Rattus norvegicus: one gene and its partner. The protein of the gene in region 2 binds, or shares a complex with, the protein of the main gene of each other region. Links are inferred from orthologs where the notes say so. Each region holds a gene or a part of one and is shown on either strand. Other genes may lie near its edges.

Region 1 (3,809 bases), on a different chromosome or scaffold from region 2:
CCAGCCTCAATTTTTAAAATAAATTTATAACTGAATTGCAGTTGGAATCAGAGGGCACCAGCATGCGGATTGAAACCAAATCGAACCTGTGAACTGAATTGAAAACATTTCAGGACCAAGTTATAATTGAGGAAACAGCTCATTTGTCTGTCTATTTGTCTGTTTGACTACTGTGCCTTCCTGATACTGGAAGAAAAAAAACTGGAAGTTATAGATTTTGATGTTTTCCTGGGTCTCATCCCCTTCATCATCTTGGCTCTAAGTTGTTGTGTTTTTGCGGCTATCAGCGCCTATGTAAATAATCGCTTTATTAGAAGTGTTACATTGAAAAAATGTAACTTTTGTACTGAGCTGAGGGAATGGCTTTGTTTGTTAAACTGCTATCCGTTTTCAAATACGTTTGTCTGTTTGTTTAGGGAGCTCAGGAACAAGGCAAACGTTCAGTTTGGAGAAAATGGAACAACCATATCTGCCGTCACCAATAAGGCATATATTTTTGAACGAAACCAGTCTGTTGGAGACCCTACCGTTGACTTGATTAGAACAATAAATATTCCTCTGTTGGTAAGTCTCATTGTCATTAGCATTATTGGTTGTGGAAGGAAAACGGCGAGTCTGACAGATTTAAGGGCTATTATTTTATGATAATAAAATAAGAGCTATACAATTTAAGAGCTGTTTTATGATAAAATATAGATATTATTGGGGGAGGGGGGTTCATCTTGCAGGGGGGGTCCCTGAATTTAATCTCTGTACCATCAGAAAGCAAACACAAAATACAGATGCACAAAGACTTTGGGGTGTGTGTGTGTGTGTGTGTGTGTGTGTGTGTGTGTGTGTATGTGTGTCCCTCCTGGCCTCCAGCTTGGCATTGATACTTCTTCGTCTGCTTAATGCTTGAATCAGAGCCATGCTGTAGTAGGAGCAGTGTATGTACTTTTACTAAGTGTATGCCTTCCCCGTCTAAGTAGATAGATAGAGACTTTTTTCTGAGGTCTGTAGAATAAGGTCATTTCAAAAGTCATCAAAGACTGGGATTTCCCCCTGCCCCTTTGTGATCAGGATTAGCATTTATGCAAATAAGGGATGACTTTTTTTAAGTATCTAGAAATTTCAAACCTATTCATTCCTTTGTTTTGTCTTAGAAACCTACTAGAATTTTCATGTCACTTCTTAGATTTTTATTTTAAGTTCAAAAAATTTAAGACACACGATTGACACTTCCCTCCCCCATTCAGACCTTTGATTAGAGTGTACTGTGTTTTTCTTTGGTCTCCCAATTATGATGACAATTCCACCTTATAACACCTGTGTTATACCTACGCCATACTGAGACCCACAGGCATTCTTTCTTGAAACTGGACCTCTTGTAGCCCAGGTTAGACTGCCACCTTTGTCTGTTGTTTAATGTGGTGATAGGGATCAAATTCAGAGCTTCCTGCATTGTAGCATCGGAGGATGGGGCTGCTTTACCCGATGAGCTGAATCCCTAGCCCTCCCAGGAACTTTATCACCTATGCCATCCTCTTCTGAGGTCTCCACTCTAAAGTGACTGCTGCTTAACACTGATGGAAGACCCAGGACCTTCCAATCTGAAACTGAATCTTGCCTTGCCTTGCCTTGCCTTGTAAGAGTTTAAAGGGCCAGCTGCCACTTTGCTCCAGGGGGGGAATGGAGCCACCTTGTGGCCATGGTCTCTATAAGATCTCTGGGACATTGGCACCATTCAGAGCCTGCTAAAGGGGAGTTTAAATTCACATCTACGAGATGTAATATGAGCCTGCCCTGGAGGTCCAGGCCTGTGATCCCAGCTACTTTCTATAGCAAAAACTGGAAGATCAAAATTCCAGATTGGGGGATGGAGAGATGGCTCAGTGGTTAAGAGCACTGACTGCTCTTCCAGAGGTCTTGAGTTCAAATCCCAGTAACCACATGGTGGCTCACAACCATCAGTAATGATATCTGATGCCGTCTTCTGGTGTGTCTGAAGACAGCTACAGTGTACTCAAATAGAATCAATAAATAAATCTTTAAAAAAAGAAAAAATTGGGGCTGGGGATTTAGCTCAGTGGTAGAGCGCTTCCCTAGGAAGCGCAAGGCCCTGGGTTCGGTCCCCAGCTCCGAAAAAAAAGAACCAAGAAGAAAGAGAAAGAAAAAAAAAAGAAAGAAAAAATTTCAGACTGGGCTCCCGAGTGAGTTCAAGGTTAGCCTGGGCAACTTAGTGAGACTTGGTGTCTCAAAATTTACAAAATGTGTCCTGGGGCTTAGGGCTTAGGATAGAGATCAGTGGTAGTATTTGTCTATTATGTGTAAGGCCACAAAGTCTAGACAGAGAGAGAGAGAGAGAGAGAGAGAGAGAGAGAGAGAGAGAGTAATTTGAGCAAGGGCAGTATCTGAACTCTTATTCCACACAAAGACTGGAAGGTCACTGGTTGAATTTACTGTTTAGTCTCAAACATTTATAGCTCAGCTTCTGGCCTCTTCTACTGAGGGGCAGGAAGAGAGCCAAGTGGGTGTTTTTTGGTTTTTGGTTTTTTTGGCGGGGGGGGGGGGAGGGGGCGGACGGACACTGGTTAACCTGCCTCTACTCTGCAGACTGTTGTGGAAATGGCCCAGCAGCCCTTCCTCAGGGAGATCATCGAGGCCATGCTGAAAGCTTATCAGCAGACGCTGTTTGTCACTCACACTGTACATGAACTGCTCTGGGGCTACAAAGATGAGGTCTTGTCGCTCGTCCATATTTTCAGACCTGACGTCTCCCCTAACTTTGGCCTGTTCTATGAGGTAAGTTTCCTTCCTAGAACCTATCTTTAGCATACTGGGCCACACGGGGAAGAGGGCACACAAGCCAGAGTGCATCTTAAGTCTGGCTTTCTTCCAGGCGAAGACCAAACTTGCCTGGAGTTCTAAATATTTTACAAAGTCTGTGAAAAAAATAAGGCTTTGGAGGGGGAGGGAAAGAAACTGTCATAAAATAACTAGCTGGTGACGGATAAAACTAACCTCGGGAGTGAGTGAAACACTGAGGTAGGGTGAGGAAATATGCTCATAGTCTGGCCTGTGCCTGTCCGAGGTCTCCCGCATGATGCCATGACGCCATGATGCCATGACGCCATAGCATCTTACTTCCTCTCTGACCCAGGGCAAGCCTTAAAAGTTTACAAAATTTAAGAGGTTGTTCAGACACAATTATAAACAAGTTTTAAATGTTTGTTACTTCTGTGAGAGAATGGGTCCTGAAAGTTGAGTCTTGCCAACATTGTTTCATTCTAGGAGAGCAGCCTGAATGCATGGTCCTTAGAATGTCTTGGCTAACGAAGGGAGGGTGGGGGGGGCTCAGCTGGCAGGAAAGTTAATTTAAAGTAGCACAGCATTTTTGGTCATTTTTAAAATTGTGATGCTTGCTTCTTTCCAGAGAAATGGAACTAATGATGGGGAGTATGTTTTTCTGACTGGAGAGGACAATTACCTGAACTTTACAAAAATTGTGGAGTGGAATGGAAAAACGTAAGTCCTGTAAGAGTTCCTAGTGTAAGGTTTTTCAAGTTTTCATTTAAACAAAATGTGCCTCTTTTTTTCCTTCCTAATTTAATACTGGGGCTGTTGCTTACTGGCAGAGCGCCTGTCTACCATACACAACACTCTGGATTTGATCCTAGCCATGGAAAATAAGTTAGCATTTGGCTTTTGTATAAAAACTGTCAGCATTCTTTTTTTTCTTTCTTTCTTTTTTTTTGGTTCTTTTTTTTGGAGCTGGGGACCGAACCCAGGGCCTTGCGCTTCGTAGGCAAGCGCTCTACCACTGAGCT
Region 2 (4,512 bases):
TGAGCCAAGTGGGTGATGTCCAGGGACTGGCAAAGAGTGAAATGGGGCGTGGGGACATCTTCAGGGCTCGGTGAATCAGGGGTATCTGGAGACAAACAGTCAAGAGAGAGACACCCAGAGCTGGAACACATACTAGTTCAACCAGTGTATCAGGTCCAACCATCAGCCCCCACCCTCTTACCCCCAAGTCAGATAGGCTGTAGAAGGTTCCACATTGCTCTAGACAGCTCTAACCTGGACCTTCCCAGCCCCAAGACAGCAATACCAACAGGGCTGAAGCAACTGGAATGCCCACCTTGAGCTTGGTGTCTTCCTCCGGGAGGCTGAAGTTGGATAACTGGAAGTCATTAGGGGTGTCAGCATAGGTGTAGATGCGGATGGAGAAGTCACAACTGGCCATGGGTACCCGGATGATGTTATACTCAATGCCTGCAGGAAAGGATGGCCCAGATAGGGAGGTCTGAATCAATAGGAGAGTATGAAGCGAGCGTGGTGGCACCACGCCTGGAATCCCATCCCTCCAGAGGCTGAGGCAGCCGGATCAATGTGAGCAAGCCAACCGGGGCTACAAGGCAAGGCCCTGTCTCATAATAAATAAAATAAAATAAAATAAGGCGAGTATGAAAACTGGCTTGAATCAGTTGTCCTCCACAGAGTCTCATTCAGAGCCAGGGTCTAGGTGTGGAATTGTGGAGAATCAGTGGCACTGAGTCAGGTACACTTGGTGGCATCTGCTTGTAATCCCAGCCCTTAGAAAACTAAGAGTCCAAGGCTAGTCATGGCTACACAGTATTCGAGGGAAGCCTGATCTACAGAAAGTAAGGGAGGAAGGGGACAAAGAGAAAGAGGGGAAAACAGAGGCAGGCTGGGGATGTAGTTCAGGGGGCTGAATGCTTGCCAGGGGTGCATGAAGCCTGAGTCTGCGCTCCAACACTGTATAAAACAGGGGAACTCCAGCATTCGGGAAACGTGACGCCGGAGGGTCAGAAGTTCAAAGTCTGATATCACTGACTGCAGTAGATTTGAGTCTTGAATACATGAGACTCACTCAAAGAGGGACTGAGAGGAGAGGGGAGAAGAAAAGGAAGGGAGGCAAATGTCAGGGGGAAATATGGAAGCGAGAGCAAAAAGCCTGGCAAGACAGCTCAGTGGGTAGGGTAAGAGTTTTTCCTGCCAAGCCTGCAAGACCTGAATCATGATCCAAATGGTGGAAGGAGACAGAGGACACCTGCAAATTGTCCTCTGACCTCCTCACTCATGCACAGCACATACAACAGATAATAAAATGTAATTTAAAAAAAAAAAAAACTGAGGGGTTGGGGATTTAGCTCAGTGGTAGAGCGCTTGCCTAACAAGCACAAGGCCCTGGGTTCGATCCCCAGCTCCGAAAAAAAGAAAAAAAAAAAAAAACTGAAATAAAGCCAGGCTATAAAGAAGGGCATACATTACAGTGTGCCATCCTGCTCCGCCCTTTCTCACCTTCGCTAGAGAAGTAGGACTTGAGTAGCAGTTTCTGAGCCGGGGGGGACAAGGCAAGGATGTTGAGCGCAGTGGCATCTGTCATGGCACCTCCAAATCCTTTCACTTTCTGGAACTTCTCTTCTGGCTGCAAGGTTAGTAGGAGCCCTGGAAGAAGAAGGGGGAAATCAGTCCAGATCACTATCACTACTGTGACTTTGGGGTCCAGGTTTGGAGGGGCAGATAAAGGGGCTACCTGTGCCAGTGCGGTTGGCCTGGATGGACCCGGTACTCAGCTCCATCCGACGTCCGCTTCGAGTACTCTCATAACGGCTGAAGGTACCCAGAGCCGGTAAGGTCAGGGGGTCAAGAGAGTCACAGTACGTTGCATTGCAGACACAGACCACTGAGCTGTAGCCAAAACTTTTGGGGATGCAGGGTTGGGCACCTAGAAAGCAGGGCACAAGCACAGGCAAGCATCAAAGTAGGTTTATGGGGGACTGAGCATGCTAGTTAAGGAGTCTGAACAACAATTAAAAAAAAAAAAAATAAGGGGACGGGGATTTAGCTCAGTGGTAGAGCGCTTGCCTAGCAAGCACAAGGCCCTGGGTTTGGTCCCCAGCTCCGAAAAAATAAAAATAAAAAAATAAAAATAAATAAAAATAAATAAATCCTTCCCCTGTACTCCTTGTGCCCAAAGATGTCTCAGGCACTCTAAGGGCCTTACAGAGTCCCTACTGAAAGTCCACCATCATAGTGAAAGGCCCCAGAGGACTATGGGGAAGGAAACACCGTCATGCCTCCATCCCCATCCTCGACTCACCATATGCCCAAGATATGGCCTGAAATAGGAAGAGTCCTATGAACCTGGCAGCCATGACACCAGGACGCTTCTGAGAAGGAAATGAGGAAATGAATGTAAGACTCTCTATCCTGCGACCACTCTCCTGGCCAGAGTTTAGCCGCCTGTGGATGTTTACAGCATGGGCTCCCACCTTTATTAGTGACCAGACAATGTCCTTAGACACTGGAGGGGTCTTGCTTTTACTCGGTTGCCCACTCCAAAGAGGGCTCTCTTCACTCTTTCCCCCACATCCATTTCAGCCTTCAGTCCTCCCTCCACCCGTGCTTTACTCCAAGAGCATGATGCCCTGAATTAAAAAAATAAAATCTGAACTCACTGAATTCCCTAATCTGGATGGGCAGAATTCCAGAAGCAAGACTGACCAGGCAAATTGTAGCCCTGCTTCCTTACCTCTGGAAGATCTTGAGAACTTGAGCTCCTCAGGATCAGTGGATAAGAAGATTGTAGCAGTTTCAGAGTCTTGGAGAGTTAGAAGATCTACCAAATAAAACAAGTATATTGACAGATACCATATCTATTGGAGCCGGACTAGCACAGCAATTCCGGCTTAAAGGGGAGGACAGAGTCACGTGATGACTAAACCAGTCACGTGATGCTGGAAGTGAGGCAATCGAAGCCATATTTGTGATGGGCAGCTGGATCCGTCCAGGCTGTTCATTCATTGTATACCCTGTGAGGTTTTGGGAGGCTTAAAGGATGACAGCTTTAGGAAGAGAATTCTAACAAGGATTTTATGAACAGCTGAGTAGAGGCTCCTAAATCCAAGACAGAGAGGATTTCTAGCCTCTAAGGGACACTGTATTCACATGCACATACCGTCACACAGATATAATTTAAAAATAAAAACAAAATTTAAAAGACCCCACATACAGCCTGGCAGTGGTGGCACATGCCTTTAAATTTGGCACTTGGGAGGAGGAGGCAGGGGGATCCCTTCGAGTTCAAGGCCAGCCTGGTCTACAGAGCAATTTCCAGGACAACCAGGGTTATTACACAGATAAACCCTATCATGAAAAACGACAAACCCTCACATATACACAATCTTTGCTCTAAAGAGACTAGTGAGACACATGAGTCAGATACTTACAGAGTTACAGATGAAGACAGACAGAAATGTTGACAGGTGCACTCACAGGACTCCTTGAGAGGAAAAAGGACCCTTCTCAGACAGCTGGTGGCAGCAGTTCCAATGAACTGCAGGGAGCTGCTGTCTGTCTCGCTCTGGATAGCAGGCCTGAGGGAGGAGTAGTCAGTCCTCACTGGCCCTTTCTACATTCCTTTGTGTCATCATCGGATGCTGGCTAGAAAGCTACTCATCTTTCCTGACAAGAAACTGGAGGGTTGGGAATTTAGCTCAGTGGTAGAGCACTTGCCTAGCAAGCACAGGTCCCTGGGTTCGTTCCTCAGCTTCCGGAGGGGGGAAAAAAAAGAAACTGGAAAATGCTGTCTATCTTTGGTGGACACAAAAAGAGAGCTGTCCTTGAGGTTTCTTTGTAAATCACATCAAATAAGATTTATTAGCAGTGACACATACCATATGATCTGACTAATTCCAGGTTTCTAAGCCTGTTTCCACACTTGCCCAACACAGACACTAGCACAACCTCACAGAGGCATTACTAGAGTTAGCAAGATAAGCCAAGTGAAGCATGTAATTAGAATCAGGAGCGTTATGCTTGTTGAATGAGGCTTTTATAATCACGACACTGAAGTCTTTATCACATAACCTTCAAAAAGTTGATTACTGCTCTGGCAGTATTGAAGCATAGTTTCTACGAGATGCATTGATTTGAATCCTGGCAACTCACAACGGTGTACTGTTTGTTTATCATGTTAAGACTCAGTAAATCAATTCCTCTAAGCCTGCTCCTTATCCATGAGGAGGGATCAAGCCGCCTCCTAGGGCTATTGTGAGATGAAGAGCAACTAGGTGTGGTTATGATAGAACTGCACACGATTGTTGCAAGTAAGCAGGCCAGTGTTTATGTGGGAAACCTTCAAGGAAACGTCTGACTTGTTCTAGGCAGCCTCACAGCCTTTCAGTATCTATTATGTCACAGGGATTAGTGCCGGGTTGTTATAGTAAACTTAACTACTGTATGACTACGGCTGTCTGTATCCACCCTTTTAAGACTTCCTGATTTCCAGGAAGTGGGACTGATTTCCGTCTATTTCATTCATCCACAATT

What was found.
Region 1: the proteins of Gba1 (region 2) and Scarb2 are in contact, whole or in part, in a cryo-EM structure (PDB 9FJF), measured with the Homo sapiens proteins. The link is inferred for Rattus norvegicus from reciprocal best matches to the Homo sapiens genes GBA1 and SCARB2. Residues at the interface, in NP_000148.2 of Homo sapiens: Leu130, Asn131, Ala134, Ile169, Glu190, Lys194, Leu195, Pro430, Arg434, Ile445, Thr446, Asp448; in NP_005497.1 of Homo sapiens: Lys161, Ala162, Tyr163, Gln164, Lys181, Glu183, Leu187, Phe191, Arg192.

What each region holds. Positions count from the first base shown.
Region 1 is NC_086032.1:15,876,894-15,880,702, forward strand, and holds part of Scarb2 (lysosome membrane protein 2), read left to right. Parts: intron 1-416; coding exon 417-564; intron 565-2,595; coding exon 2,596-2,784; intron 2,785-3,415; coding exon 3,416-3,507; intron 3,508-3,809.
Region 2 is NC_086020.1:176,905,532-176,910,043, reverse strand, and holds the start of Gba1 (lysosomal acid glucosylceramidase precursor), read right to left. Parts: upstream 2,843-4,512; 5' UTR 2,714-2,842; intron 2,352-2,713; 5' UTR 2,337-2,351; coding exon 2,282-2,336; intron 1,907-2,281; coding exon 1,715-1,906; intron 1,627-1,714; coding exon 1,480-1,626; intron 1,391-1,479; exon of another isoform or gene 1,316-1,390; intron 430-1,315; coding exon 296-429; intron 86-295; coding exon 1-85. UniProt on the Homo sapiens protein: Glucosylceramidase that catalyzes, within the lysosomal compartment, the hydrolysis of glucosylceramides/GlcCers (such as beta-D-glucosyl-(1<->1')-N-acylsphing-4-enine) into free ceramides (such as N-acylsphing-4-enine) and glucose.